4 linked regions of the Saccharomyces cerevisiae S288C genome follow. The gene in region 3 interacts genetically with the main gene of each other region. Each region holds a gene or a part of one and is shown on either strand. Other genes may lie near its edges.

Region 1 (8,936 bases), on a different chromosome or scaffold from region 3:
AGATGGGTTGCCAGCACTGTGTGATGGGGCAGCAAAATTGCTGCCGCTATTGGAAGTAAAACCTATGTTTGTTTTATTCATTAAACGCATGTAGTCTGAATCCATCCGATTCCCCATTAGGTCGTTTCCATTTGAATGAAATGAATTTCCATTAAATTGCGGGAACGACCGTTGTTGAGCTTGATAATTACCCATTTGAGTAGAGTTTAAATTATTGTTATTGGATGAAATGGGCGGTGCGGACATCGGCTCTGAATTAGACGAAGACATTTGAAAAGAGGTCAAATTACTGGAAGGGTGTTCTTGAATGAACCCGTTCTGGTGAGAAAACGGTTGCTGTTGTTGATTTGGCACTGGTGGCAAATACGGAAACCTACCCATAAAATCAATATCGTCAAAAGTCCTCCTGTTTTCCATACCATTTCCCGCACTTTTTATTGAGTTTCTCAAATTATTCAGGCCAGCAAGCGGATCAACCGTATCACTTCCTGAATTATTGGAGTTATCATTCAGTTTACGGGGTAAATCGGATAGCGATTTTCCGCTGTTATTCTTGAAAAGCAAGTCCTCATAGTAGTTCTTTAAATCCACATTGTCGGAAATGCTTGTTGTGCTATTAACAGTTGGGAGGTCCATTTTGCAACTGTATTTCTATTGAGCACTGTATCAGACACCGCTTTTTTTGATTTATCCTTCGTTTTTTTCTCTATAATTCTCTTGAGCCTTTCAATACACTTTATTCTTTTCTATATACGCTGTTTACTATATCAAAGAACACTCGAACTGATGCTATCTCTGTTTCTAACTGCCGAACCAATGAAAAATACAGCTCTTAATTATCAGTGAATCCTTCTTCTTATCCTTTATTTATTTTTGTTTTGTTCCTTTAGCTAAAACACGGATCCGTAATGTTATCCAACACGATTAGGGGAAGGATTCGTCTCCAAAAAACCGTTATGACCCAATCCTATATGACCTACGGCAGTCAGAGAAATACAGGTTTTCGCACTCGGAGGCGATTGTCGCCAATGGAAAGCTAGCCGATACTTTTTCCGTCAGCTTTGCGGGTTTTCTTTTTTGCGGCCTTGTAAACGGCTGTGGGAAAAGCGAAAAAAAGCAATGAGTTGGGAGAAATGGATGTGATTACATGAGCAACCAGTAGAAGATAGCATCAACCGCACACATGATTAGGATGTAGACGGCTATTACCTTGGACTTATTTTGTTCAAGTGCGGCTGTATGGACAACAGTGTTAGGGTCAGGTTCCTTGGTAGGGTACGATAATACAGCTGTAGTTGCTTGTTTGGTACTGTCCTCGGTTGTTGTCGGAACCTCAAAGACAATGCCAAGCCCCTTCATCATGTGCCACTCCACATGACAATGTAAAAGCCATTTTCCGGGCATCTCGGTGTTAATTCTCAAAACCGCGTAAGAATTTCCTGCAATGTTAATGCTATCCCTTACCATCGGTGCCTTTCCGGTTCGGGCCAGGTGACGTAAATCGTTCTGATAGCGGCTCCATGCCTTGCCCTCTTGTACGTCTTTGTGAAATGGGCCATCACCTTTATTGCCAAGAGATATTATCTGGAAGTGATGGCCATGCATATGCCATGGGTGTCTCATGTGGTCCAGTGAGTTGATTACAATATCATATGTTTCGTTGAATCCGAACCTTACCGGGTCTTTTACGTACTCGCTGAATGTCCGTTCGTTCACCTTATACATCCCAGTCCCATACTTTTGTTTCGTGCTTTCATCTTTGTAATAAGCATAATCGAATTCGAAAACTGCAACAGGATCAGCCTTTGTGCGTAACTTTTTATTCTCTTCTTGCGTTGGTTCTATGTCGCGATAAAGCTCGGCCTTAGTGAAACCAGGCAAGTGTTCGATGGAAACGTCATTGGGGTTCTTTGGTAGGTCCAAATGAGCGCCTTCTTTGTAAAACCACCACTGTTTTGTTATATAACCCATCATTTTGTTACAGCCATTAATCATACGAATAAAACTAGTGTCAGACTTTAGTTTGACCAAAATTGTATATCTTTGTCCGACCGCTAAATTTATCGTTTGTACAATGAACGGTTTAATCATAATCCCGTCGGCTTCTAGAACAATTAATTGGAATCCATCAAGGTGAAAGACTTGAGTACCAGACATTCCTGAGTTTACGATTCTCAAAAGAAGATACTCGGTGTTAAATCCTATTTTGATAGTTTCACCGTCAGATGATTTTCCATTTATTAATGATCCATCAAATTTGGGATCTGTACCCCCGGTAGATGACAAAACCTTGTCGTTTAAAATGTCCAAATTCCAATTGGTATACCAATCACTCAAAGTGATAATCCTTTCTTGAACTTCATAATCCGTCAATTCCTTCGTGTGTTTATCTTTTTTCATTGTAACAACACCGTCATCTAGTGTCTCTATGTCTCTCACAGAATTAATAGTATTTGCCACATGATTATCATAATCATCGCATTCAACTATCAGAACACCTCTCATACCGTCACCGTATTGTACTGATGAATGCGAATGGTACCAAAAAGTACCACAGGTTGATTGATCAATGGTAAAATTATACCAATAACTTTCTCCATATCCAATAGTGGGCTGTGTTAAACCTGGAATTCCATCAAATTCATTTGCTAAAGGTACCACCCCATGAAAATGTAAAGCTGTTGAACAGTAATCCTTCCAAACATCACTGTCTTTACTAGCTTCTTCTTCTGAACATATCCAGTTAGTCAATTTCAAGTTAAGAGTGTCACCGGATTTAACTCGAATTTCTGGGCCAAATGTAGCGCTGTAGCCATTTATGGAGATAACTCTTCTCTTATCAAGCGTGTATTCACTGCTCGCATTGAATTCTAAGACATGTATTTTGCCTTCCTTAGCGGCCATAATAAATTTTAATAGTATTAAGAGTAGCATTGGCAACTGAACCGGCTTAAGGAGAATGACCTTCATTCTAAACAAGTTGTCCACGGAGTTTTGCAATAATTACTTAATAACTTTGTTTAACCGCCCAGTATGTGCCACTTTATTAGCTTTGGCCTTAATGTGGACAGCTGAGATGAAGGTGGATCCTCTATGACTATCCCCGAAAAAAATGTAAACTAAAAAATATTGGTTGCTAAGAGATTCGAACTCTTGCATCTTACGATACCTGAGTATTCCCACAGTTCACTGCGGTCAAGATTTTTTCTTGAATCAGGCGCCTTAGACCGCTCGGCCAAACAACCACTTATTTGTTGAAATTTTTGTATCATATGTTTGTATATATCATATCCCATTTTTTAAGAGAGTAACTTCTTGTCGGCCTCATTGTTCATAATTTGTAGCCAAGTTGTAGTGATAAATAATAATTTAGGCAGATATTCTTATATGCTTGAGTGGAACTTCTAGCATATTCAGTATACTTGATATTAAAGCCTTTAACAACAATTAATGTTCGGAAAATTAAACTGTTACATAATTTATGTTTAGCTCTTACTTTAATCCCAAAGAGGGCAAATAGCTTTTAAATCTTCAACTACTATAACTATAACTACTTTTCTTTCATATATAGTTAGAAAAACAAACGGTTATACAAATAGTAATCAACACGATATTTTAAGGGTAAATATAATAGTACATAGAGTCCAGTACCTCCATTAGATTGTTATTTAAAGTATTAATACGGAGGGGAAAAAATAAGCAAAAATAATATGAGCGAAATATTATGGCAGAACAAAACGAAGGAGACAAAACATGATTGCATTACATTAGCACTATTTTTGTAGAACGCCTTCCTTATTCAGGACGTTCTCAACTTCATTGACCAACTTTTTGACAGCTTTGAATGAACCAGAAACTTTCTTGAACTGCACAACGCTCATCTTACCTCTCGGATAAATATTAACCTCAAAGAGTGTTGAACGTAGTGAGAATATATTATCACTCGATAGTTTACCCGTTAAGGTCAGATTGTTGGGGTGCGATTTTATATTTTTTAAACCATACTGAGTCCAACCACGCAACAGCTTCTCTAAACCATTAAACAATTGTTTTGCAGAAATCTTGGCATACAATTCCATTGTTTTGTCCGAAGATTTTGAGAATTTTCTAAAGAAGGAACCATTTCCAATTGCTGTATTTTTATCCTGCTTATGCTCTTTTAAGTGATCTTTTGAATGATCCTTTGCCTGCGAGCCAGCATTTTTTTCCCTAATTTTTTGCACAGATTTGTTCAATGGTGGCTCCATATCATCTACTACTTTCTCTCTTTTTTCTTGATCCTCTTCTTGTTTGTGTTGTTCTGGCTTTTTCTCTTCCTTTTCCTCATTTTCTTCTTCCTTTTCAGTATGTGAAGAAGAGCCTGATTCTGGTATCATCGATTTAATCTTTGGATGTGCCTGGTCACCCTCTTGGCTATTCTGTTTACGCAATTCATTGTCACCATTAAGCGGAGGAAGGATCGGAAGATGTAAGTTATCAGTTTGTTTCGCTTCGTTCGATCCATTAAAACGATCTGCAAAGTTCAGCTTTAACGCGGATTTGTCTTTGATAGTGGAATCACCGACATCGTACAATCTCTCATCGTTCGAACTATTTCCTGTATATTCAGCTTCTTCGTTGACAGTTTCAAAAAGAAATTCTGAATCATCCGCACTTCTTGGTGTTGGAATTCTTTGGCTTTGTTGGTTATTGACATCAAGGTTACCGTTTTTCAAAATATCAACCAAGTTGGTAAACGACTCCTTGGTAGAGTACATCGACAGGACAGATAGCCTTTTATTGGACTCACTAAAATGCCTTGATTTTCTAGTAAATTGTGGTACTCTAATTTCAGAGATCTTCCTCAACCTACCATCAGAGACGGGAGCAGTTGTTGCGGTACTATCCTTTAATTGAGATACGCCATTCCCATCCTTCGGGAGGATCAAAGATTCATATCCATCATTAGAATCTGACACCACTCGCTCCTCTGACAATCTTTGTGGTGCAATTATACTTGGATATTCCATTTTAGACAATTTCAACTCTTTATCGATATTAAATGATGAACCCAAGAATTTTGATCTTCTGATAGTTTCTAAAATTTTCTTTTCTGTTGTAAGTCTTTCATTTTCTGTTCTCTTTGGTTCCACTGGACTTACTTCCTCAGTTGGACTGGAGAACATTATACCCGGATCAAGCCTTGACACAGGTCTAGTTTGTAAAGAAAAGTTGCGGCGACGGAGAATATTGTCAATATCAACCTCCAAATGATTGATATTTTTCTCTTCATTTTCCATAGGAGCAGAGATAGATCTAATATTACCATCCAGTTTTTCCTCTTTGTGTTTGGACAGCTCTTGCTCTAGATCACTTATATCAATTTCAATTTGCTTCTTGAGTTCCTCCTGTTTTCTTTTCAGATCTTCCTTTTCTAGTAATTTTCTTGCACGTTCTTTTTCTTCTTGTTTACGTCTTCTACGTTCCAGCTCTTCACGTGCTTTTGCTTCTCTCACTTTACGTTCTAGCTCTTCCTTCTCTTTCCTTATTTGTTCGTACTTTTCGTACTCAAAAATTTCATCTATCAAAGTTGCAAAATTTGAGCTCGTTCTCTTTGTTTCCTTCTCAATGTATTCCCAATCGTCATCCTCTGCCAATTTCGCATATGTTGACATTAATTTTGTTGTCACCGATTCACGTTTCATGCTTGGTATCAATGACATTCTCTTGATAGATCTAGAAGATCTTTTGTTCTTCTTGGTAGTAGAAAAGATAGAGGCTCTTTTTTGATTCTTTTCCACATTTATAACCGAAGCTCTTTTATTACGTGATGCTGGTGTTGGAGAAGATTGGTTAACGATTGTAGATAATTTCTTCTTTGAAGAGAAGTTTTTTGAAAGGCGTTTTGAAGAACCGGGTGTAGTTAGATTGCTGGAGGAGGCACTGGAGGCAGTGAATTTGTTGAAGGATATTGGCTTTTTACGAGAAGATGTTACACTAATTAAAGATTCTCTATTTCTTCTGCGTTGTGGAGTTGTCGATACTTTTTTAGATGGGGAAACAGAAACGCTACTAATTGACTGCCTCTTCTTAACTTGCTGTTGCTTAATAAGCTCTTTTTGAGTGTCACACTTAAATCTATACAGTAGTGCATATAATGTCTTTTCTGCATTAGCGCCAGGTTCTCTTAGTTTTTCCTTAATTCCTTCAGGATCTCTTCCATGCCATAATATTACTAAATTTTGCAAAATCGTAGCGTCAATAGAAGAATTACTTTCTGATAATGGCGTGAGATATGTGTCTTCTCTTGGTAAGCCTCTAATACTTTTAGAATCTCTTATACTTGGATATTTTTGTAATAGCGGATGTTTGAGTATATCTCTGGTCTTGATTCTTCTTTCAGGATCAACGGTTAAGATTTTTCTAATCAAATCCTGAGCTTCACGCGAAATTTCATCATCAGAAGGCATTTCGAACTCACCTTTTTGAACTTTAAGTAATAGTGTTCTTATATTTCCATCTTCCTCGTCAAAGGGTAACCGACCAGTAAGAAGGGCGAATAGGATCACACCGCATGACCACACATCACTTGCGAAACCTTGATACGGTATACCAGATACAATTTCTGGTGCAGCATAATGTGGTGATCCGCACGACGTCTCCAGTAGCTTTCCTTCAGTTTCCAAAGCAGCCATACCAAAATCTGCAATCTTGATGTTATATTTATGATCTAATAATAGATTTTCCGGTTTTAGATCACGATGGACAATACCCAACGCATGACAGTACGACACACCAATAATAATTTGTCTAAAAAACCTGATAGCTTCATGCTCTGGCAGAGGACCTCTCTCAACCAATAAGTTGAACAACTCACCTTTCTCCGCGTATTCTAAAACAAGGTATAAATCTGTATTTGTTTCCCAGACATCATATAAACGTAACACATTTGGGTGGTTTAACAACTTCATAATGATTATTTCGCGTTCTATACCATATGGTAGAGCATCTGGGGTGGTGGAGCCAACAATCGAAGTACCGCTGACATTACCGGTATTGAATACTGCTTTTGATATTACCTTAACTGCCGCCTCTTGTCCTGTGGATCCATTACGAGCAAGCTGGACTTTACCAGTGCTCCCTAGACCGAGAGTTTCACCTAGTTTCCATGGACCGATGGTATTATCCTTTATGGCAGGAATACTGTTACCATTGATTGCCATTTTGAATGTTATTATTGTATTGTGCTGCGAATATCTTTCTTGATCAAAGTGGGCAATTAATTATTCACAAGTCTGCTAAAGCCTTCGAGAATACTAATGGTGAGTACAGTTGAGACGTTGTCGACAGAAGAGAAAGCAAAACAAAATAGAAAAGAAAATCAAGAAGAAATAAAAAATGTGTGCACTTCATTCAGTCGCTTTTAATTTAACATCAAAAGGAATCTATGGTGTGGCCGTTGATATTTCGCGATGGTATGCCGAAAAAGGAAATAACGCAGATTGCGCGTAGTAACGAATGGATTTGACGCGTTTCCTTCGATGAAAAGTGGGAAATAATAATAAAAAATTCTTGTCAGACGAAACTTGGCGCAAAACAAATGATTTCTTTACCTTGAATAACCCAGTTCTTCCAGTGAAGTGAAGTTCAAGTTAGTAATAGTAGGAATGCATTTATGTGATGACAATGATGTTTGCACAAAGTACATAGAATATTTAAAGAGTTAAATAGTATAATGAAATAAGAAATACATGAATGAGGGGGACGGGAGAATGAAAGGAAAGAGATAAAACAGGAAGAGCGTGTAGGAAGGCTGGGATTTGAAATAATATGCTAATTGAATTGTTTCTTCAAGTTTTTTTTTTTTTTTTTGAATCGTGATTTCTGCTTTAACACCAGAAATCAAGAACTCTTTTCCAGTATGGTCCGTTTCTTAATCTCTCTTTATATTCTTCATCTTCTTGTTTTAATAATTCTTCATCAAAGATGTTTCTATGAGAAACTAAGTCTACTTTATCAGCGGGAATGAATAAACTCCAATCTTTTTTCCAAACTTTGTAAAAGATGTATAAAGCAATCCAGATTGGCATAGCCAAATAATTCTCAAAAAATGATTGGGCACTTAACTTACCTCCTCCACCAATTGGGGCAATGGCAACCCAAAATTGGGCGATTAAAGCTAACACCATCATAAGGACAGCGTAAGCCGACCCCCAGACACCGACTTGAGATTTATAACCAACCTCTCCTAAGGACCTTCCTTGCACTTTCATAGCTCTTCTAAACCTAATGTGAGACAAACAAATGGTAATCCACGTGAATAATTGAGACAAACCGGAGATTGCTAACAACCAGGTGAAAACGTCCTCTTCCTTTTTAGATGAGGCACAGAATGCAATGACACCAAATAATGCACTGACAAGCATAGCAGCAGCAGGTCTACCTTCCCTATCGATGTAATCGAAACATTTGGGTGCATTACCTTGTTTGGCCAACGACATCAAAATACGAGAACTGGTATAGAAGGCACCGTTAGCAACGGAAAGAACAGACAACAGGATGACAGCGTTTATGAAATGAGGAACCACACGAACACCATGAGAGGAGACAGCGATGACGTAGGGCGACGCTTTAGTGGCTGAACCTGCGGCCCCTAGCAATTGATCTGAGGTGTAAGGTACAAGGAAACCAACTAACGTTAAAGACGCCAAGAACACAAACAGAATTCTATAAATCATTTTCTTTGCCGCCGATGGAATAGCCTTTCTTGGATTGGATTGTTCACTGGCAGTCATAGCCAGCTGTTCACTCATACCAAAGGCGAACGCTGCTGTGACAAATGTGGCAACGACACCTTTGAACCTCTGGATGGGTGTATCACCACGGAAGGCTCCGGGATCACGCCAATATTTGCTACCTATGTAACCATCGGTACCTGCACCACCACAATCAATAAT
Region 2 (6,137 bases), on a different chromosome or scaffold from region 3:
CTCATAGTCTTCTGTTTCTTCTGGAACATTAGTATCCTCTTGTACTTCGCCTTCCTGGTTCCTGATATACCTCAGATCCGAGGTAAGATAACTTTGCCAAATGTACACTGCTGTTAGTACACAACTAATGAGTATCCATGTATGCAAAAAATAGTCGAGTTCCGGAGACAAAGACGACAAAAGAAGGAGTTCTAAGGTGACAATGATCAATGACATGGAAAACATTCTTAAAATGGCGGCCACAGTAGAGTACTTGACGATCCATCGGACCATCAAAGAGTCGAGAATGGCATACGAGAGGTATAAAGACACCAGGCACCAAAGTGAGCAAAGGAGATATTCAGACGCTCTTGCTGTAGTGAGTGCGGATAATAGGAGTGAATCCTTACCGTCGCCATTCACAGCCTTTTGCGAAGCTCCTTCAAATGATGAGTTATTGTCGTAAGCGCTATTGAGTTTTTGCCAGAAATAAGTGAACGCATCTCTTAGTGATTGTGGCTCGTAAAGCGTTATGCTGGTGCGCATGGAGACTCTCCAAGCCTTCCGCAGAGATGTGAAGATGTAAGTTAACGGCGGTAAAAGGGATATGTCCCTGCATAAGGCCATCAGCATATGCTGCTTGGCAGTTAAATGATTCAAAGACAGCGTTTTCATAGAACTGTACGTCTTTTTAAAGGTCGCTCGCTCATGCTTGGCATACTTGTCCTCATGAGGGCCCATACCAGTACTTAGTATCCACGTCATCTGGTTTTTTAAAACCCTGAAGAATCAAATAAGATTATTTGACCAAAGGAAGGGAAGGGAAGAGAAAAAAAACTTAAAGAAAAAAGAAATGAGAAACCCTGGTGTGTTCACGTAGATGCACAGACGGTGGGCAACCCAAAACTTAGTCTTCCGATAAACTTTTCAGGTTCTTGTACACGTGGAAACGCCCGATATATATCACATGTAGCTGTGTAATATGAGAATGCCTTTGTCCATGTGATAAACCGTGCAAAACTTAACATGGGAGCAGGCACAAGTGTGAGTCCCACGAACAAAACGCCGCTCGGGTAATAACGCCCAATGTAAAAACATCATAAATCAGCACGCAAACGGTAAAGAACAAAAACATCTTCAAGGGAAAAGTATACAGATGTATAGTCTAAGCTATTGTATTTGTATAAATGGTTCTTATTTTAGTTTCGTTTGCCCATGAGCGTTTGATTTGCTCAAGAACAAGGAACAAAGACCAGCGTGTTGGGGAAAAGAAAAAGAAAACAAAAAACAAAAGTAGATCACAAGTTTTCCAGAGATGCAGCAATTTCGTCCAGTTCCTTCTTTGCGTCTTCGTACTTGACGGTCAATTCCTCGTTCTTTCTTTCCCATTCTTCTCTTTGTTCTTCCAAGGCAGCTACTCTTCTTTCCAATTGATCTGCCTTCAAGTCGGACTCTCTCAATTTCTCAGTGGTTTCCTTTAGCTTGGTGTCGCTTTCCTCCAAGTCTTCTTCCAATTGCTGGTTCTTCTTGGAGAAATTGTCGTTGTTGGACTGCAAGTGGTGAGAGTCCTCGGACAATTGCTTGGATTCAGCCAATTCTGCTTCCAACTTCTCGATCTCTTCCTCCAATTGGTGGTTCTTCACCGTCAAGGACTTGATCTGATTTTCTTTTTCAACGTTATCCTGTTCTGTTTGCTTAGAGTCAGAAAGTCCCGCTTCCAGCTTCTCGATCTCATCCTCCAATTGCTGGTTTTTGACGGTTAAAGACTTGATCTGATTCTCCTTTTCGACGTTCTCTTGCTCCAAGTCCTTGTTCTTCTCTTTCAACTCCTCGTACTTCTCCTGCCATGATTCGGCTTCCAACTTCAAGTTGCTTAGCTTTTCTCTGATTTTGTCCATTGTTGCCTTTTTTGTGTGTATGGGGTGTGAGTTCTACTATGTAGATTTCTTCTACCAACCTAATCTTTTACAGTATCAGAAGGGAAAAACGAACCTTCTTCTTGCCAAGTATGCAGTATGTGATCTCTAACACTTTTCCGTTTCTCGTAGATCGTGCTATGGTGTGCTGATTTTTTATTTTAATGGTTACCCGACTTCTTTACCCGGCTCTCCGTCGGGTAAGATATATGTGCTAGCGCCACGCGATGGCTGGTTTGTCTTTTTAAGTTCTTAATATTTATTTTTATATTTTGATTTTTTTTTTTTTTTTTTTTTTCCATTAGTGAATGACAGCAATGTATTAAGCTGCTGCCGCGCATACAAAATGTACTGCGTTAAATTAGATTAGCTTAAATTAGTGCTTGGTAAAGGAGGAGTGGTTTCAAGTCCGGTGTGCGCCCCACTTTATTCGGGTATCTTCTACGTTTTTACATCCATGTTTCAGGTACTGTTGAAAATAGTTAAGATCGTTCGTATTTCTTAATTCATGTATTTTTCCCTGTTCCTAACTCGCAAACATCAGTTTTCTTGCAGATACGTCTTGAAATACAACCATACAGACAATGGAGACATACGAGACTAGCATTGGGACTCAGTCTTATCCCCCGACTTTGTTCCCACCTCCCCTGGGTACCGGTGGGTTTACCACTTCAGGTTATATACATGCGCTTGTGGATTCTACATCGAACTCGAACTCGAACTCGAACACAAATTCGAACACAAATTCGAACACAAATTCAAATTCAGATACCAAGATTCCTATAGTGCAAATATCGGATGACTCTCATATAACACACGACAGCTTCAAACCATATATGGAGTACCACGATGCTTCGCACTTGAGGAACCGTAACATAAGCAAAGCGGACCAGGTTGAAAGCACTGAAGTGATGGAACAGTTTACGCAATGGTCGAATTATAAGATGAGGTCTCGCTCTCCTACCATAAACGCAAAGCCAATTCGACACACTTCACAACGAAGAACAGACTTTACCAGCAAAAATGAACTCTCCAAGTTCAGCAAGAATCATAATTTCATTTTTCACAAAGGGTTTTTGAAGAGGCAACACTCCATACGCAGGGAAGACAGGCAAGCAAAGGTACGGTCAAGATTCAGGAGCAAGAAGGAGCTGACATCCGTTTTGAACTATATAGAACTGGAACAAATGGATATTGCAAATGTCCTGGCTTCGCAACCGGTAAACTTACACGCTATCAGAAATCTCACTAGCAGGGACCCTGCGGTAACTCCTATCCCATTTTTAAGAAGCCAGATGTATGCAACCAGTAGTCGTCCACCGTATCTAAGGAACCGCTCCATAAGTAGGAAACTACCCAAATCACAACCAGGTAGTCTCCCGACGACTATGCCTGCGACGGCGACGAAAACAATTAAACAGAATTCAACGACCCCAACCACAAGATCTGTTTATAACAAGAATGTGGGGCGGTCCAATACTTCCCCTAGTGTGTTGTACCACCCAAAAAGAAGAGGAAAATTGAACACCAAATCGCATGCAAGAAAGGAGCAACTGCTGTTGGAACTGTGGAGAGAATACTTAATGCTGGTTATAACACAGAGGACGCAACTGCGCCTGACTTTGCTTTGCTCTCCGGGTTCAGCATCGAATGAAAGCTCTGTCTGCTCTTCTAACGCCAGCGACTTAGACATGTCCCTTTTATCTACTCCTTCAAGTCTCTTCCAGATGGCAGGTGAGACCAAAAGCAATCCTATAATTATACCCGACAGTCAAGACGATAGTATACTTAGTAGCGACCCCTTTTAAGTAGGTAACCCCCCCTGGATTGCATAGCCATTGCATAGCCTTAGACATCAAACTTTATTTAATCACATTATCCTTCTATGTATCTTTTTCCCCCGCTCGATTTCTTCTAGAACATTACGGAAAATAAAGGAAAAAAATGACTGGAGCATCGAATCTGTAGACTAAAAAGGTAATGACGCGTTCTTCGTTCCCACAAGTATGTGAAATCGTTTGAACGCTTTTATATACTGATAGGAATAGATTATAATAGTATTCAACATTCATCAAACAGTTTATATCGGTAATAAACCAACCTCACGATACAGTGATTATTTCTCTAAACAACACGAGCCGTACTGTACCTACGATAAAGTAAAACACATTTTTCTTTTGCTACCAGTGGACACAAGATAACGGAGAATGCAACAAAACACGTCTTTATATGACTCTTTGAACGTTACTGCCGCTGCATCCACATCTGAGATTAAGAAAGCTTACAGGAACGCTGCATTAAAATATCATCCTGATAAAAACAATCATACAGAAGAATCCAAGCGAAAGTTTCAAGAGATATGCCAGGCATACGAAATACTTAAAGACAATCGTTTAAGAGCTTTGTATGACCAGTACGGTACCACAGATGAAGTCCTGATTCAAGAGCAGCAGGCGCAGGCGCAACGCCAACAAGCCGGGCCGTTCAGTTCATCCTCAAATTTCGATACGGAAGCAATGTCATTCCCGGATCTATCTCCAGGTGATCTTTTCGCGCAGTTTTTTAATAGTTCTGCTACCCCCTCTTCTAATGGCTCCAAAAGCAGTTTTAATTTTAGCTTCAATAATAGCTCTACGCCGAGCTTCTCCTTTGTTAATGGCAGTGGCGTGAACAATCTGTACTCCTCGTCAGCAAAATACAACTCCAACGATGAGGACCATCATTTGGATAGAGGCCCTGATATCAAACATAATCTAAAGTGCACATTGAAGGAACTCTACATGGGTAAGACTGCAAAGTTGGGTTTGAATAGGACAAGGATTTGCAGTGTTTGTGATGGGCACGGTGGTCTAAAGAAATGCACTTGTAAAACATGCAAAGGGCAAGGTATTCAAACCCAAACTAGGCGTATGGGACCTCTAGTACAAAGTTGGTCTCAAACTTGTGCAGATTGCGGGGGTGCCGGGGTTTTTGTCAAAAATAAAGATATTTGCCAACAGTGCCAAGGTCTTGGCTTCATTAAGGAGAGGAAGATTCTACAAGTCACCGTTCAACCGGGATCGTGTCATAACCAACTTATAGTACTTACGGGCGAAGGTGACGAAGTTATTAGTACTAAGGGAGGCGGTCACGAAAAGGTAATACCTGGTGACGTCGTTATCACCATTTTACGTTTAAAAGATCCGAATTTCCAGGTTATCAACTACTCCAATTTGATATGTAAGAAGTGCAAAATCGACTTCATGACCAGTTTATGTGGAGGCGTAGTTTATATTGAAGGGCACCCTAGCGGTAAGTTGATCAAACTTGATATTATACCTGGCGAGATACTGAAGCCTGGTTGTTTCAAGACTGTTGAGGACATGGGGATGCCCAAGTTTATCAACGGTGTTCGGAGCGGTTTCGGTCATCTATATGTCAAATTCGATGTGACGTATCCAGAGAGACTGGAACCTGAAAATGCTAAGAAAATACAAAATATTCTGGCTAATGATAAATACATTAAAGCAGAACGTTCCACCATGGAAACCGCAGATTCAGACTGCTATTGCGATTTGGAGAAGTCATATGACAGTGTGGAAGAGCATGTGTTAAGTAGCTTTGAGGCCCCTAATTTAAACAATGAAGTTATTGAAGACGACGACCTTGGTGATTTGATTAATGAAAGAGATTCTCGGAAAAGGAACAACCGTCGATTCGACGAAAGTAATATTAATAATAATAATGAAACGAAACGAAATAAATATTCTTCACCGGTAAGCGGTTTTTATGACCATGATATTAATGGATATTGAAGGTTATATAGTCATGCAGTAATGTTATACATTTTCTATTTTTATTTTTTGTATCAGTACTCTATCTATAAGGACATTCCTTTTTTTAAGCAATGCGGAAAGATACGCTATTCTTCCTGTGGATGGTTTACCGCGGTTTGGGTGGTAATATCATTGCAGCCCTAGTCCTTTAGCAGTTTTTTTAGCGTGTAATACATTGTTATTCATCTTTTTCTTAGTGCCTGCCAAGAGATCGTGGGAGGTTACTTAACAGAAAAGCAAAAAAAAAAACCGATTAGAATGTGCATGCCGTTGTTACAGAGAAGCAAGGGAAGTTCACCACTGATCATATTTCTAAGTTCATCAAAATATCGTTTTGGTTTCAGCAGTAGGGATCTTTAACCCAAGTGTTCATTTTCTTTCCTTTTTGCTTTTTATTTGAATGATCTGAACAAAAGGAGAAACATAT
Region 3 (7,944 bases):
ATGCTGGGTACATCACATAGTATGTCGTTTCATTAACACCGTCGTTTAAAGGGAGATTAGCGAATTCAAAGTTGCCTTCGTCATCTTGAAACATGGTCGTAGATGTGTAAGGATATTCTGTCGAAAAATTGCCGATCTGATAAAGTTTGAAACTTGTTCTAGTTGAAACAAAGCCGGTGATGTTACTTGCTGCTAAGTCTAAGCGACCCTTAATGGTCCCTCTCCTGGCCGTAGCACTGGCGACATAAATAAATGCACTGAGTAAAAGAACAATCTGTGAAAACATCGTCACACTGCTCTTTCACTTGTTGATCAAATTTACTTTGATGATATTTAATGGCTTGACAAATTCGTTCATCTTAATTTCATACATAATTTCATCCTGAAATCCTCGATCATTTTCGAGACTGTTTTTCGAGCTTGATTTTATATGTGGTGTAAACACATCATTGTACATCCTTGCACCACACTGAAAAGAATATGGAAAAAATTTCAAACTTTTTAATGGGTGATAGACTTGAAAAACAAAACGGAATAAAAGATATAGTCGCAAGAACTTGCCTTCTACGAGTATAAAAGCGGTACTATTCCTTCTGTATGCATCTTCATCGCAAGAGAGAAAAAGACTGAAATCAACAACTCCCAATAACAATTAAGAATGGCTAACGGTACGTGAAAGGGGTGATATCCTGTTTAAAACCATTTAGTTATTCTTTTTTTCAGATGGAGACTGTGATCGGGTAGCGCATGATGTTATTATTGGAATTTTATTTTTTTTGCAACTTTGAAGCACTCCTAACTATATTGCAATAGTGTTATGAGATGCTACTTATGTTTGTAAGGCCATGAAATTCTGTAATACGGAGTTAAAATTTCTGCAATAAAGCACTTCAATGCTATTGTGTTATAGAGGCTCTGCGCTCACCCTTAATACTGTATCATCTGTAATAAAGAATGTTTATCTTAAAAGGATTGTAACTAAATGGTTGTTAGATAGTGACTCATTCGTTTATTTTTTAATAATCGAAAAAGCAGAAGTTCTGTTTACTAACAACTATACCTCTTATCATGTATAGACCTTGTTCAAGCTCGCGATAACTCTCAAGTCTTTGGTGTTGCCAGAATCTACGCCTCCTTTAACGATACCTTTGTACATGTTACCGATTTATCTGGTAAGGAAACTATCGCCAGAGTTACTGGTGGTATGAAAGTCAAGGCCGACAGAGACGAATCATCTCCATACGCTGCTATGTTGGCTGCCCAAGATGTTGCCGCTAAGTGTAAGGAAGTCGGTATCACTGCCGTTCACGTTAAGATCAGAGCTACTGGTGGTACCAGAACCAAGACCCCAGGACCAGGTGGTCAAGCCGCTTTGAGAGCTTTGGCCAGATCTGGTTTGAGGATTGGCCGTATCGAAGACGTTACTCCAGTCCCATCAGACTCCACCAGAAAGAAGGGTGGTAGAAGAGGTAGAAGATTATGATTTCTTTTTTTTTTACTCTATTAACGCATGGAAATACGGCTTTACCTTCTCACATAAATATAGTTTGTTTAATTAATAAAGCCAATATAAACATTTGCATATTCGACTTCGTGCATGCAGAAATGCGGCAGATAAATTCATTTCTGTCTAATCTTTTGAACAGTTTTAAAGTACAAATATATTAGTATTTAACAGGAAAACTAAAAAAATGTATAATAAGAAATGAGTAAAGTTATGAGGCTATCTTGTGTTTATTATAGTATATAAAGCTACCGAAAAGGTTGTTGTAACAAGTAGCTTAGTAAACGAAACCCAAAATCTTACCAGAAACGTGCTTTCTTCTGGCTTCTTCATGGTCCATGATACCAGCAGAGGTGGTCAAGATGACGTAACCGAATTGTCTGGCTGGCAACAAGTTGGCAGTCCATTTTTCAATGTCACCAATCTTAACGTTGAATCTTGGGGAAATAACACCACACTTGTTCAATCTACCGTTCAATTGAACAACAATCTTACCAGATCTGTGGTCATCGATGTATTCAAATTCACCAATGTAACCGTGCTTTTGCATAACTTGCAAAAACTTGATAATGACCTTGGAGGATGGTCTGATTAAAACTTGACGCTTACCGGTCTTTTCAGCGTTGTTAATGGCATTCAAAGCATCAGCTAAAACGGAAGATCTGGTCATCTTGGATATGTATGTTGGTCTTGTTTTATAAAAAATACTAGAACTGAAAGGCCATTAAAAAACCTTACAATTTAAGAATTGAATAGTCGATTAAGATTATTTAGATTGAAATTGACTAACTGCAAACCCATATTCAAGAATTATTTCACATCTTCCAGCGAGTAAACATGCCGCTGGTAATCGCGCGTCCTCAATATTTGAGTTTTTCAAATAGTGAGGTGTGGATGTATAGAGGAATTACACACTTTTAAGTATGTGATGTATGGGCGCACAGTACCAATTTAACTTTTTTTTTTTTTCATTTTTTAGCTTGATTTTCAAAAAACTTATGGGCGTTTTAGGCTCCGGCTCAAACTACCACCACCACGCGGCAGGCCGAGGCAAACAGTACGCCTTGGCGGGGACGCCGAAGCGACTCCTTCTGTTCCAAGCTCAATGGTCCTTGCGTTTACGCTCGCGCGTGGGCTAACTAACGCAATTCGGCTTTTGGGCTGTCGAGAACCGAGAATTATTCTTCGCCTTGATAGATACTTTAAAACTTCTACTTAATATACTTTCTACAATTTTTGGTACATTCATATTATACTGAAAATTCGAAAAAGACAAGCAAATAAACACAGATAGATCAACATGGCTGTATGTTAGAAAGATATTATAAATCCCAGTTAGATGCTGAACTGATCAATAGCAAATTATAAACCACATCCATCTAAATGACCTTACCACCTACAATTTGGATTTGAAATAGAAGCAATGTGTAAAATATAGGGAAAGGATTAGGAGTGTTAACCATACTAAAATTTTTCTTATCCGAAACAGAAATCTAAAGTCGCCACTACGCAGATTAAAATATGGTCATAAACTGCTTATTCTGAGAACTTTTGGTGGTCCAGCGTGGTTTATGTCAGGTGGTATTGCCTTGGATCCGTGAATGCATCACATTGATGAGTTTGAACATTGTTACTAACATTTTTTACAATTGTACACTTCGTATGTGCACGATATGTTTCCCTTTTAATTAGGCTCAAAAGTCTTTCAGAATCAAGCAAAAAATGGCTAAGGCTAAGAAGCAAAACAGACCATTGCCACAATGGATCAGATTGAGAACCAACAACACTATCCGTTACAACGCTAAGAGAAGAAACTGGAGAAGAACCAAGATGAACATCTAAGCGAAGAACATATTTATGCTTCAAACTTTTTGTCATTTGTCTTCCATCCTTCCCTTATTCTCAATATATATGTAATACGTCGTATTTGATATATATATATATATATATATAATATAATTTAACGGTTGTTATCTGCTACATCTGTAAAATAAAAATAAAAATGCTTGAAGCGGCTGTACTTAAAATAAACTCATCTAAGGTTTTACATGGTATTACTACCGGACTGCAATTACACTCTTTTTCGTTATTGGATTATTTATACAATGCGGCCCATAAGCACGTGTGGGAAAAAAGTATGTAAATAAAACAAGGTTTTTTGTTCCATTTATCATATAAAAAATTTTGGCTTAGGTCCAAAGTCGTCTTCCTGGATAATAGCACCTGCATTGCGTGTCATTTCTACATACAGGCATTCCTCAGTTTGTAAGATTTGATTTGCCGTGGGCCTTCTCTCATAATTGGGCTCTATCATCCATCGTACTATTCTCTCAAGTGATTCACCATCAATAAGAAATTTCGGTACCCATGCGGGAATTTTAGAACTTTTATGCAAAATAAGACGATTCTTGGTAGCGGCAGTATTGACATTATTATTATCGTTGCCATTATTCATATTAGGGTTGTTGATATTACTATTGTTATGAACAGTGGAGGTGCCAGCGTTGTTACTATTACCACTGATATTGTCTCTTTCAAAATCAAATAAATCATTTGTATCTACTTTCGTAATGTCTGAAAATAATGATTCAGAATGAATATCTGTGGAACTTAATCTTCCTGCATCCGATAAATCACCCGATCTCAACTTATGCCATGCGTTGCCATTGTCAGGTAACACAACGTTCGCTGCAATTTCAACAATCATCAGACCCAGGGAAAAAATATCTGCCTTGTAATCGTACGTACAATCAGAAATGATTTCTGGTGCAATATATTCTCTGTCACCTTCATTTTCAAAACTTTTATCCTCCAACGGTAAATGAGTAGCCATTCCAAAGTCACCTAGTTTTAGGTTACCTTCAAATGTGATCATGACGTTTGCGGGTTTCAAGTCCAGATGCACAATGTGACAAGAATCATGGATGAATCGTAAAGCCAGGCTTAATTCCACGATGATTTTCCAAATTCTCCAATCTTCCAACCTTTTTTTCTTTGCGATAACTTGCTCTTGTAAAAATCCATCCAAATTACCATTTTCGCACAATTCTGTCATAATATAGTATGAATTTTGAAACTTCCAGGAACTGATGTAATCGATGATGTATTCCTTCCCTTCTTGATCCATTGTAATTTGGTTTGTTACCTCGTTTAGTATTTTAATTTCCAGTAATATGCGTTTCAAGGAATTATATTTGTTTGGTTTAATGGCTTTGATTGCATACTTTTTGTTTGTTTGGGCAAACGTAACCTGGTAGACCGTGGAAAACTGGCCTTTACCAATGGAATGCACATTCGTAAATTTTTCGAAAAGATGGGAATCTGGATTTGCTGATAACTTATTTGAAGAGATTAGACGCCTTTTGGAATTTAACGGCGAAGAATCGGTGGAAGATATGGAATGCGTCTCTGCACTTGTTGTGTTTGTCACGATGGCAGAGGAGAGTGACAATGGTCTGCTTTCTCTATGTGTTTGAGATGTTGCCCCAATAATAGATTTTCGTCTTGTTGGAGTGGAGATCTCTTCGTCAGTGTCATTGTCATAGCGTCCACGAAATTGATAAGGTTGAGGGTTCTTTCTAGTTGAATGATGACTTGATATTATGATTGGAGGTGGGAAATTCTCGTCCGTGCCGTATAAATCATCTTTGAATTGTTGTAAACTGTTTGTTAGCTCTCTATTTTTCAAAATAACCGAATTCCTTGCTCTTTTGATTTTTTTGAACTTGTTAGAATGCAATGTTTGTGGAGAGCTGTTGGTAACCAAGCTATTAGTGGGAGACAGGATGTTTGTCTGGTTATTGTGACGATCATGTGCATGATATTTTGCCTCGCTCAGTGGGGATGAGTCTATGGTTGGTACATGGATGGAAGGTAAAGCTTTCGAAGACGGAGAATCTGAAAATAAAAGGTCTTCTTGTAAATTATTGTCTTCAACAAAATTTAAAGGGGAAACACTTAGAGAAGACGATGCATTTTTCGAACTCGAAAGGTGGACATGCTTATGGTCTCTTCCCTCCACTAAGGGTGATTTTTTCACTGGTGTTTCTGGTATCCTCAATTTCGCAGGGTATAACGAAGTGTCCATAGACATTTTAGATACGAGGCCCGAAGACGTAAAGGCTGATTGGTTAGGTTTAGCGACGCTATATGAAGAGGATGAGGATGTATTTTCAGTGCGAGCATCATTTTTCGGAAACCATCGCTGGTTCCATTGTTTGAGAGAAATAGGACTGTTCGTTTTTTCCGCAGATCTTTTTGTAATAGGAGTAGTAACACTTTCATTTTCATGGAACGGAGACCACCTTTTAATACGAGAATCCACGCTTTCCTCATCCTTGCCTTCTTCCTCCTCTTCTTCCTCTTCTTCAATTTTCCCAAGAAATTTGGAGTTAGCCTCTGACAAAGCTGTATTACTTAATGACAGGTTCAAGGTCCCCGTACTTCTTGTCAATTTGTTGTTCGAATATGGATAAAATTTCAGTTTATTGGTCGGGGTGCTACCCCCTATAGCAAAATCATCACTCTCGTCTTCGCCGGCCTGTTTGCCAAACATCTTCTTCCCCATAAACTGGAGGTTCTCCGTGTCCAGCATTTCGAAGTCCTCTTCATCCTCGTCCAAAGAACTCATCTGTTCTCGTGTGCGCCTGTGTGTGTTTACTTTTCCCCAGCACTACGCAATCAAAAATAGTAAGACCTGTTCAGTAGTAATCCTTTTTTTATTGGACTAACTGCGCAAGATGATGTGCAGGATAGTTAACACACGCATACATACAAAAAAGAGCCTCTTGGACAACCTTTACTTAATACACAGGGGCACGCCAATGTTCAACTGTGTTGTTGATTTCTTATCCAGCATTCTTTTACTTCTCTGCATTTTTTTCGCGTCGCGTCGCAAATTGTGATGGTTAAAAGAAAAATGAAAAAATATTTTTCGCGTCGTTATCACCCGGAGGAATAAAAAAAAGAAACATACACATCACGTGACCACAAGAATGTTAGAAAGGCTTACCAGTACTAGAGACGTTAATAAATTGCGAATAGCCCCCTATCTCCCACATGTTGGCATCTGTGAGGTGGAACCTATTTAAAGGTGCCACATTTCTTTCCTTAGAGGACGATGGTTGCAAGATCAGCACAAATCCATAGTTTGATGCATGGAAAGCGAAGCACTCTAACAGAAGTAAGATAATAAACAATCTCACGATTCTACTGATTTAAGTGCAACTAGCTCTTGGGCTTCTTTTGGTTGCCAAGTCGGAATAGACGACAGATGCATGTTTCGGTGCAGAGTTCAGAGAGATAAGTGCCTTCTTTTATCTTTTTCCCCGTTCTTGCGGATTTTTTTTTTCACTTTCTCATCGGCGGGGAAAAAAAAGTGTAACAACTAAAGGATCAACACGGCTTTAAAGTGTTTTATATATACGCAGATATGAAAAAAGCATTTTCACGGTTATTGGAAATTTTTATTTTACGACTGGTTCCTAGCACAACAAGAGGATATACTAATAGTTCAGGTTACAATGCTGATTAGGTTAAAGAAGAGAAAAATCCTGCAGGTCATCGTGAGCGCAGTAGTGCTAATTTTATTTTTTTGTTCTGTGCATAATGATGTGTCTTCTAGTTGGTTATACGGTAAAAAGCTTAGATTGCCGGTTCTAACAAGGTCGAACCTTAAAAACAATTTTTACACAACACTGGTACAAGCCATCGTGGAAAACAAGCCGGCAGATTCGTCTCCGGACTTGAGTAAGTTGCATGGGGCGGAAGGGTGTAGCTTTGCAAATAACGTTGCTGCACACGACTCTGGACACGATAGTGACTTAAGTTACGAGAGCTTGAGTAAATGCTATAATTTGAATAAAACAGTACAAGAAAGCCTACGAGAAGTGCACAGTAAGTTTACAGACACCTTATCAGGGAAACTGAATTTTTCCATCCCACAAAGAGAGGCACTTTTCTCAGGTTCTGAGGGCATTGTCACCATTGGAGGTGGAAAGTATTCTGTGCTCGCGTATACGATGATCAAAAAGTTGAGGGACACGGGTACTACATTGCCTATTGAAGTCATCATTCCGCCTCAGGACGAAGGCGAGGATGATTTTTGTAAGAACTGGTTGCCGAAATTCAATGGTAAGTGCATTTATTTCTCAGATATCGTTCCTTCAAAGCCATTAAGCGATTTAAAACTCACGCACTTCCAGTTGAAAGTCTTTGGGTTGATAATTTCCAGTTTCAAGCGTATTATCTTCTTGGACGCAGATAACTATGCGGTGAAAAACCTTGACCTTGCTTTTAACACTACATCCTTCAACGATACTGGCCTGATATTGTGGCCCGATTTTTGGAGACGTGTCACCCCTCCCGCCTTTTACAACATTATAGGATCTAGCATTAACATCGGCAAAAGAGTCCGTTTTGTTAGTGACGATATTTCCCCC
Region 4 (10,121 bases), on a different chromosome or scaffold from region 3:
GAAAGACGTGGGCAGGAAGATGCGAGTTTTGGGAGCTGGTTTACCTGCTTCATCCCCATCCTTAGCGGCGCCTGAAGGCTGCACGGGATTATTCCAATGAACCACTCCTATAAATATACGTGTTGACTGTGCCTTCTCAATCGCCACTGTGCAATCTCTCATAATTTTTACTAATTTCGCTTGGTCTGGCTGTAAAAGAGAATTTATGTCTGGAATGATAACAATCTCAAATTCCTTAACATGTGTAGTTGCTAACGAGTCCAAGCTTGCAGTTGTTGAGTTCAGAACCGTGACCTTTATTCCTCCGCCCGGATAAGCGTCATTGATTGCCCTCTTCAGTTGTATATCACAAGTACTTGGCATCGAAGAGGCTAATTTTTCCTTTGAGACGCTGTCTCTATACATACATAGAAAGCTCTTTTTAGCTGTAACAGAAAACTTCAAACATGTCTGAAAATCCGGCAGATTATGATCGCCCATTCCTATTTTTGCCACATCCAATCAATAATTTTGCAGCTCCGATTTTGCAGGTGTTGCTGTTCAATGGAAGTAATCGTTGTTATAAAGGAGCACATCACCAAGTCCTCTAAGGCTTAAAGGTTTGTCGTTATGCACGTAAAAGATGAAATTTTTTTATGGCTAGATGAGCTCATCGCGATTTGAAGAAAAAGAGTAAAGAAAACAATGCTAAGAAACTACAATAAGAGCAAGTTGCATATCATCGAATAATACTAGTGGGGTTTTCTAGTTCGTTACAGCCAACAACAGACAAAAGATATGGCTAAACTTGTACATGATGTTCAGAAAAAGCAGCATAGAGAACGTTCTCAGCTAACTAGCCGTTCCAGATATGGGTTTTTAGAAAAGCATAAAGACTATGTGAAACGTGCTCAAGACTTCCACAGGAAGCAGTCCACTTTGAAAGTCCTCAGAGAAAAAGCAAAAGAGAGAAATCCAGATGAATACTACCATGCTATGCATTCAAGGAAGACAGATGCAAAAGGACTGCTGATCAGCTCACGTCACGGTGACGAAGAAGACGAATCGCTTTCCATGGATCAAGTTAAATTACTCAAAACGCAAGATAGTAATTATGTGAGGACGCTGAGGCAAATAGAGCTGAAAAAGCTGGAGAAAGGAGCGAAACAGTTGATGTTCAAAAGCAGTGGGAATCATACAATATTCGTCGATTCCCGAGAGAAGATGAACGAATTCACCCCAGAGAAGTTTTTCAATACCACCTCCGAGATGGTGAATAGATCTGAAAATAGATTAACTAAGGACCAATTAGCCCAAGATATTTCAAACAATAGGAACGCTTCATCAATAATGCCAAAGGAATCATTAGACAAAAAGAAATTGAAAAAGTTCAAGCAAGTCAAGCAGCACTTACAGAGGGAAACTCAATTGAAACAGGTCCAACAAAGAATGGATGCTCAAAGAGAATTGTTGAAGAAGGGTTCCAAGAAAAAAATCGTAGACTCTTCAGGAAAAATTTCATTTAAATGGAAGAAACAACGGAAACGTTAGATTTTTACCATCTATATAGTATATATAAGTGAATCAGGCAGACGTTCCGTAATCCTTCTTTTCATGTTTTATAGGATTACGTTTATAAAAAGTATTCACTTTTCTTAAGTGTCTTTTGCGCCATCAAAAAAAAAAGGATTTTGAGGCACCGGAAAAAAAAGAACCCCTCTCCGAATGGGAGTATTTAGGACAAGATTTGTAAAGTGCTCCCTTTTTGAGCAATACTACAGATCTATAATGGGGAACAAACTCATACACGATGGACAAGTATTTGAATTCATTTGTTGACCACCTTTCAGAGTGGTCATCTCGTGCCTTTAGGAACAATTCATCAAGCGCTAACCAAAGTGCGTCGAACAAGGAATTAGAACAAGTTTTTGAACAGATCAATGCTATAGTTGAAAACCACAATAACAAATTAACCACTGCCTTTGATAAGATATCATATCGCGTTGCTCACAAGATTACACACTTGGTGGAAAGCCATTCTTTAGTATTCAACTACGCCACTTTAGTTCTCATCGCAAGTGCTTTGGTCGTTATTGGCTCATTTACGTCTATTTCTTCTATTCCATTTACAGCTCTACCTCCTACGAGAGAACACTCATTGTTTGATCCTACAGATTTTGATGTGGACCACGACTGTCATGTTATCTACCGCGAGAATGACGAAGATAAAAAGAAAAAGAAGAAAAGCAAGAGGTTTTTCGATATGATGGATGAAAAACATGCGATTATACTGCCCTTAACTAGTGGCTGTACTTTACTCGCTCTCTATTTTGTGATCAAGAAACTACACCTAAACTGGCTAAAATATGTGGTGAAAATTTTGAATTTTAATATAACACTGCTAAATATCCCAGCTGGCACATTTGTCTACTCCTACTTTCTCAACTCACTTTTCAGAAACCTATCACATTTAGCTTCTTGGAATCCCCTGGTTGTTTTACCAAGGTATCGTGTAACAATAGCTGATGATAACGAAGACCTGAACAAGATAGGCGGGTTTGTTACCAATTTGAATTACAAAGATGGATTGACCAACTCAGTTGTTCACAAGAAAACATTGGATGAGATTGAAAAAGATCATTGGATGAAGCATTTTTACAGAAGAGAATTAGTTGAACCGAAGGATATTAAATCGAAGAGGCAGATCAGCAACATGTATTTGAATAGCGCATTAATTGTTTCGTTCGTTCTGTCCATCGTTTCTACCGTATATTTCTATTTATCACCCAATGATTGGTTAATATCCAATGCTGTCAGTATGAATATGGCTATTTGGTCCATTGCTCAATTAAAATTGAAGAATTTAAAATCAGGGGCCCTAATCCTAATTGCTCTATTTTTTTACGACATTTGCTTTGTCTTTGGTACCGATGTAATGGTTACAGTAGCTACTAACCTTGATATTCCCGTAAAACTAAGCTTACCAGTCAAGTTTAATACAGCTCAAAACAACTTCAATTTTTCAATACTTGGTCTGGGTGATATTGCCTTGCCTGGTATGTTTATTGCGATGTGCTACAAATATGACATCTGGAAGTGGCACCTTGATCATGATGACACTGAATTCCACTTTTTGAACTGGTCATACGTTGGAAAATATTTTATTACTGCTATGGTTAGTTACGTTGCTTCTTTGGTATCTGCCATGGTCTCCTTGTCCATTTTCAATACTGCTCAACCGGCTTTATTATACATTGTTCCTTCCTTGTTGATTAGTACTATTTTGGTAGCTTGCTGGAACAAGGATTTTAAGCAGTTTTGGAATTTTCAGTATGATACGATTGAAGTGGATAAAAGTTTAAAAAAAGCGATAGAAAAAAAGGAGAACTCTATAACTTATTCGACCTTCATCCTATCAGAATACTATAATGATGCCGACAAGTATGCCTTGCTTGGTGATGATGTAAACGAAAATTTTGACGATGATGAAGAATTCGTGCAAGAGGAAGATCTCAGTGACAGCTCTGAGGAAGAGCTTTCTGAAGAAGATCTCTTGGATGACGAATCTTCTTGAGCTCCAAAAGAAACGACAGCTCTTTTTACCCCTCCAGGGTTGTATTTATCTTCTAATCTAGGACAATGTTTGTAAAACCCTCTTTCTTTCCTTCGTGTCTCATGTCTCTCCATTTATTAATGTTCTTTTAAACTATGTTTTCTCACGCCTGTCCATTCGGTTCTCGTACGTTAAATTTTTCAAATTATTGTTGTATAATTATATAACATCTATATAGAATTTATGAACGTCCGGCATTTCGAATTACTCTCTCCACATCATCATTAAACTTTTCAAAGGCTTTATTGGAACTTGTGTTTGAATGTTTGCTTCTTTTTTTTACAGTAATTACCGTAGATGCATTGGGTGTGCTAGTAATCTTGATTTTGAATTTGAAGTTGCCTTTTACAAATTTACAATCGTATTCCACCACCTTTCTCCCAAATTTGTGATCTAGGTTCTTTAATTGATAGTCGATACTATTCTTGTTGAATTCATTTAATGTTAGCATATGCGCATCATCAAATGATATATTCGTTACATGATTCTTGGATGCCTTAGTAGCATTATTATGAGAAGAAAAGTTTTGAAATAGTTTGACGAACCAATTCTTTTTATCACTGGAAGGCGCTTCTTCAACTTCAACATTTTGGACACTTTTTAGAATTGGCTTTTTTGTATGGGTTTGTGTATTTGATTCCATAGCGGTATCCTTCGTAACTTTAATCGTTGAGGGTTTTGGTATTTTAGAGTAGTTATTTTCTGTATTATTTGCATTTTCCTTTTTTTCAACCACCGGCAACACAAGTTGAGAAGATTCCTCGGATATTTTATTGTCTAGCTTGGTATGCTCTTCTTTAATTTTTCCCCCACCTACTTTTTTAGATTCTTCCTCCTCCTCATCGAAAAGCATTGTCACTCGTTGTTTTGGATTAACGCTTTCCTCAGATGGTCTTCGCTTTGAATAGCTCATACTTGATTCAAGAATATCAGCTTGAGAAGTATGCCCATCTTGATCTTCCTCCAAATCTTTGAACATTGACTGTAAACTTTGAGAAATGCCTAATGCATTACTATCACGACTACCACGCGTGGAAGAAAACCTCTTTTGCATATGTGTATTAGAAGGATTTTCTGGTGACAATCTAAGTTTAGAAAGTATCTCTTCAGTAGTCTCTCTGGGTATACCAGAACTGTTATTATTCCAATAAAGACTTACTCTAACATTTGTCGCGGGAGTAAGAACGTTTGTTGTCGCCATAGTGTCAATAGATACCGCTTTCCTATGCACACTTGCTCGTGAATCGCTTTCTGAAGAAGATGTATTTAATGAACCCTCATCGGAGGGCGCATCTTCAAAAATATTAATGGCTTTTTCATCATATGTGTTTGGTATAGTATAATCTGGAATATAATTAGTATCGCTATTATCTGGTTCTTTTTCCTTCGAGATATAGGCTGCCGATTTGATTACTTTTTCTTTTGTAAAAGAAGATGCTTTGGGCGAAGTATTGATTTTATTATTGTCCGTGTCGTTGTTCATCAGTTGAATCGCCTGAGCGGTAAAGGTGTTTGTTGGTATTTCCATCGCAAATGTCATATCAGAGATTCCATCCAGATCATTACTCAAATAGGAGCCAGGTGAGCCCTGATTACGTTTAACGGATAAATTGGCGTTCAAATTAGACCGTGGAGTTAGAGATATTTTGGCAGATTGTTTTCGCAAAGGGTGTGACATGGCTACACTTCTAGATTGGTTCTGTGGCACACTTAGATGCTTATCATCACCGTCATCAGCGAGTATCTGGCTAAGATTTTTGAACGTCATAGATGTGTTCAAAAAACTAGAAGGTAAAGACAGCATTGGTTTTTGAATTGTACTAGATTCTGCTAAAACACTGGGATCTCTCGAAGATGTTGCTACTGTTGTTAAAGGTACATATGAACTTTCGATTGAAACATCTGAGGCTTTGACTGGTTTTTCGTCTTCCACATGTTCACTCATGAACAAGGAACCTCTCTCATGGGTCCAGTGAGAGGCTGGCTCCTTTTTGAATTTCAGTCCCTGCAATAGTGATTCCACTTTTGAATTCACTGGCTGGGAGATGTTACGGCGGGGATCTAGAGATAAGGACGGTTTACCTTGATCATTAGGCAAAGAATTTACACGAAGTTCTTGGTGCTGAATAGGTTTGAGTGGTGACGGGCGGTCATTTTTTTTTTGAAGTTGTTCTCTTTGAATCTTTTTTTCTATCCTCATACCTTCCTGTTTATTCATTTTATTGAATGAGTTCGTGATATCTGAAAGGGCCGCTCTCTTTGGCTTCTGTTCTTCCAAATAACTTGAGCTTAACGTGTTTTCTTTTTCAAAGATAGGAAATGAAGAGAGCCCTGACATATTCTCAGATGGTTTATATGACATATTGAATTGATTTTTCTCAATTTTGGTTGGATACTCCGGGCCCTCATTTTCCTTATTTGTAGACACCCCAGAGATCGTAAAAGTGTCTGCCGAAGATTTTGTATCGTTTTGCCTCTGTCTTTGGGTGTCGCGTTCTTTTTCATTGTCCTCTTCCTCTTCGAGTATCCTATCTAAGGCGTTTCCAAATAAGATCTGATCGCATAAGATCTCAAAATCAGAGTCTGATTCCAACGAATGGGGTTCTGATTTATTCACATTTTCGGATGCTGGTTTCTTACTAGGGAGAGGATCGTCAAAGACTAATAAATCATTCAGGTTCAAGGAACGTTTTGAAATTGACTGTAATGAGTATAAGGATCTCTTTGAAGCCGAGTTTTGTAGTGTTCTTCTAGCGGCAACAGTTGCAGCTATATTCTTCCTCGAAAGTGATTTATGTATTGATTTAGTAGATGGGGAGGCGTGGATTGCCCTTCTTGACAATGAATATCTTGAAGGCGACTTCGGCAGTTGAGGTAGAGGCATCTCATTATCATGCACAGTTTCTCTAGAAGTTGAAGCGGACAATGATAATCTGGAATTCGATAAGCGTAGCGATCTTCTCGAACGTGATGAAATAGAGGTGTATGAGTTACGGAAAATCCTTGATGAAGAAGCATTGAATATGGGAATAGCGGGTGGTAATGTTACAGCTTCTGCTTCAGCCTTATCACTTTCAGGTTGACTGAGCGTATTGATACTAAATTGCGATTTTTGTGCCAATACAGGGGCATTAATTTCTGTATTAACCCCTGTAATTGCGTTGTTCTGATTCACTGTTGAAGTATCTTCTGAATGAATTTCTAGAGAATGTAAAGTCTTCACATCATTGTTCTCGCTCCTTAGGCCTGTATTATTGGCAGTTTTGGATGCGTATTCAATCCTAGGTTCATTTACGCTACTTTCTGTTGCTGATTTCTTGTTTTCGCTTGACGAGGACAATGATATTGAGTGACGTTGTTTATATTGTAATAACAGTGAGTAGAATAGTTTTTCCTCCGACATTGGCTTTTGAAGCAACTTGGCAGTGATTAGTTCACGAGAAACTCCATGCCACAAAATTTGCAAACTCCTCAAGATGGATTCATCAATTTCCCCTTTTGAATGTAAAGTTACAATAGAGGGCGAGACATTATTTAGCAAATGCAAATCCGAGTTAGATTTTCCCCTCGCCATGTTATCCTTTCTCATTTTCCTCAGCACTTTATTAACTGGGAGATCATCATATTTTTTGATCAGAGGATGCTTCAATATCTCTTGAGTGGTAATTCTTTTTTCTGGATCAATTACCAATATTTTTGATATCAAATCACGAGCCTCAGAAGATAAATTTGAGGGCATTTGATATTTGCCCGATTGAACTTTCAACAACAGCTTTTTGATGTTGTCATCATTAAATGGTAAATGACCGGTGAGTAATGCAAATAAAACGATACCGCAGGACCAGACATCGCTAGGACCGCCATGATATGGTCTACCCATAACAATTTCAGGAGACGCATAGTGTGGAGAGCCACATGAAGTTTTTAAAAGTTTATTAGGAAGCTCTAATGCTGCCATGCCGAAATCAGCAATTTTGATTCTCCTATTCTTTTTATCTAATAATAAATTTTCAGGCTTCAGATCACGATGGCATATATTAAAAGAATGACAATAGGAAACACCTTCAACTATCTGCTTGAAGTAATGGATAGCCTCCCTTTCAGGTAGCTTTCCCTTCGAGACCAGATAATCGAATAATTCGCCACCATCAACATATTCCAAAACTAGGTACAGCTCTGATTTGTTCTCCCAAACTTCAAACAATGCCATAACGTTTGTGTGAGATATCAATTTCATGATTACTATTTCTCTCTCTATGCCATATGGGTTCGTTTGAGAATGGTTACTATGTTCTCTAGATGCTATTGATGGAGAAGATACATTGGAAGTGACCATGGAAGAAGAGTAAGAATTAGGAACAGTTCCATTATTAGAACAATGAACAAAGGCTTTCTTCTTGGGGACAATTTTAATGGCAGCTAATTGTCCTGTTTCCATATTTTTAGCCAAGCGAACCCTACCAGAAGATCCCTTCCCCAATGTTTTGCCAAGTTTCCAAGGACCCACCGTGTCTCTGGATTTTCTCTTTGATGATTTTGTAGCAACACTTACGGTAGAGTCGGGCTGAGATAATCTTTTGGTAGCGTCGTTCACAGATTGTACAACACGCTCCAAATGCCCCGACGCCCTTTTTGGATTCGAATTTACTTTGGCCATGGCCCTTTTAGCTGCCTTCTTGGCCAATGAAGACGGGCGACCTTTGGGTACGTGGCTCGTTTTTGAAACGTGACCAGTCATGTCGTGTGGTAAAAATAAAAAATATTAATAACAAATAATAAAGGAGTGAATATAGTTGGTTGTTGATTTATTTATCAGTATTTTTTGTCCCGCAAATCTATGTCGTTCTTTTTACCTTGTCTTTCTTGTAATTTTATTATTTATCTCTTTTCGCGATTAGTAGCAAGTAGTATGATGGATATCCAACCTATTTGATGATCTATTTGAGTTCAACTCTCTGTTTTAATGGCCTCTCGCTGTCCAATTTACGTCCTTGCAGTCGGATAACTAGCGAACTTACGATCCAAAGGGAGTTTTAAGAAGAAACAGGTTTCGAGCAAAAGGTAACTTGCTTATATTAAGAACGCCAATAAGAGTGGCCACTATAATGCTGCTCCCAGCCGGTACAAGACGGTACGGTACGTGATGGAGATTAGTTTTCACTATTTAGCCCAAACAACCCAACGCGAAAATGACCACGCGAAAAGAAAAATTAGTAAAAATATTTCACAACGCGAAAAATAAGGACGAAGGCAACACATTCCACCTTCCCTGTTATTGTAAAACGCACAAATGTGTGCTTTATTCGCTGAGGTTTCATCGACAGCTGCAGCCAGTTGTTCATTCGGTGTTCTCTTGTGCAGCGGCTCAAATTGTGGCAGGCTTGTAGGCTCCGAACGCCGTAAGGTACTTTATGTTTTTAATGTCAACGTTTGCAAGAAAATGTCATCCTATTACTTTCTGAGGCATGATAACATTGTAATCCCTTATCTCTTGCGCTTGTTGGTATCAGATAAAGAAGCATCAAACAAGAACCCACTCCTTCCTTTTCTCATGGATAAAGAGAGGTCGCACCATTTCGTGAGGAATATGAATTAGTCAGCTTCTACTTTAGGGTATAGGTTGCAAACTTCCGTTTTTCTCAAGGTTTAATCAGAAGCATAATAGGTCTTCGGATGATTTCTTGTCTAATTCAAAAAAAAAATAATCTGGGATAGGTTTTTCGGGAAAAACAACTAGGGGTGATGCTGTTTTGCACCTCTATTACTGTAAGATAGGCTATGCAAGCAAACGACAGTAAGAAAGAATAGGGTTAAGTGAAATAGTTGACACACCCCTTAATCGTTCCATTAGATAATAAAAATTCATTTATAAGCAGTTGACTTCACAGAACAAGACATACACTGTATAGAGCCTGATCAGTAATCTTAGTGCAATTGTAGAAACCTGCACAACCAACAAAATTAAGAAAAAAAGAATGGAGGAACAACGTGAAATACTGGAACAATTGAAGAAAACTCTGCAGATGCTAACTGTAGAGCCATCTAAAAATAACCAAATCGCCAACGAAGAAAAGGAAAAGAAAGAAAATGAAAATTCGTGGTGCATCCTCGAGCACAATTATGAGGATATTGCACAGGAATTCATTGATTTCATTTACAAGAACCCTACCACTTACCATGTAGTATCATTTTTCGCGGAGCTGTTAGATAAGCATAACTTCAAATACTTGAGCGAGAAATCCAATTGGCAGGACTCCATTGGCGAAGATGGTGGGAAATTCTACACTATAAGAAATGGAACTAACCTATCTGCCTTTATCCTGGGCAAAAACTGGAGAGCCGAAAAGGGTGTCGGTGTCATTGGATCTCATGTGGACGCTTTGACGGTCAAATTGAAGCCCGTCTCCTTTAAAGACACAGCGGAAGGTTACGGAAGAATTGCTGTTGCTCCCTATGGAGGTACACTGAATGAATTGTGGCTAGACAGAGACCTAGGTATTGGTGGTCGCCTTCTTTACAAGAAGAAGGG

Evidence for each region.
Region 1: of SWE1 (region 3) and GIN4, a mutation in one rescues a mutant of the other (synthetic rescue), as found in Saccharomyces cerevisiae (4 studies listed by BioGRID, with this or other methods).
Region 2: mutations in SWE1 (region 3) and TPM1 together harm fitness more than expected from each alone (negative genetic interaction), as found in Saccharomyces cerevisiae (5 studies listed by BioGRID, with this or other methods).
Region 4: of SWE1 (region 3) and HSL1, a mutation in one rescues a mutant of the other (synthetic rescue), as found in Saccharomyces cerevisiae (6 studies listed by BioGRID, with this or other methods).

The regions. Positions count from the first base shown.
Region 1 is NC_001136.10:1,458,585-1,467,520, forward strand, and holds GIN4 (protein kinase GIN4), read right to left. Parts: upstream 7,203-8,936; coding exon 3,774-7,202; downstream 1-3,773. Other genes in the region: PSP1 (Psp1p), read right to left, coding at 1-636; GMC1 (putative oxidoreductase), read right to left, coding at 1,144-2,970; glutamine permease GNP1, read right to left, coding at 7,869-8,936. UniProt on the Saccharomyces cerevisiae protein: Serine/threonine-protein kinase which regulates the localization and the function of the septins during mitosis. Phosphorylates SHS1.
Region 2 is NC_001146.8:477,289-483,425, forward strand, and holds TPM1 (tropomyosin TPM1), read right to left. Parts: upstream 1,878-6,137; coding exon 1,278-1,877; downstream 1-1,277. Other genes in the region: EOS1 (Eos1p), read right to left, coding at 1-744; NIS1 (Nis1p), read left to right, coding at 2,480-3,703; APJ1 (Apj1p), read left to right, coding at 4,103-5,689.
Region 3 is NC_001142.9:73,129-81,072, forward strand, and holds SWE1 (tyrosine protein kinase SWE1), read right to left. Parts: upstream 6,135-7,944; coding exon 3,675-6,134; downstream 1-3,674. Other genes in the region: SOP4 (Sop4p), read right to left, coding at 1-286; 40S ribosomal protein uS11 RPS14B, read left to right, coding at 659-668, 1,077-1,483; 40S ribosomal protein uS8 RPS22A, read right to left, coding at 1,782-2,174; 60S ribosomal protein eL39 RPL39, read left to right, coding at 2,805-2,810, 3,197-3,346; alpha-1,2-mannosyltransferase MNN5, read left to right, coding at 7,027-7,944. UniProt on the Saccharomyces cerevisiae protein: Protein kinase that acts as a negative regulator of entry into mitosis (G2 to M transition) by phosphorylating and inhibiting the mitosis-promoting cyclin B-bound CDC28 at 'Tyr-19'.
Region 4 is NC_001143.9:247,129-257,249, reverse strand, and holds HSL1 (protein kinase HSL1), read right to left. Parts: upstream 8,331-10,121; coding exon 3,774-8,330; downstream 1-3,773. Other genes in the region: MTC2 (Mtc2p), read right to left, coding at 1-480; rRNA-processing protein UTP11, read left to right, coding at 778-1,530; YPF1 (aspartic endopeptidase), read left to right, coding at 1,790-3,553; YKL102C (uncharacterized protein), read left to right, coding at 8,883-9,188; metalloaminopeptidase APE1, read left to right, coding at 9,568-10,121.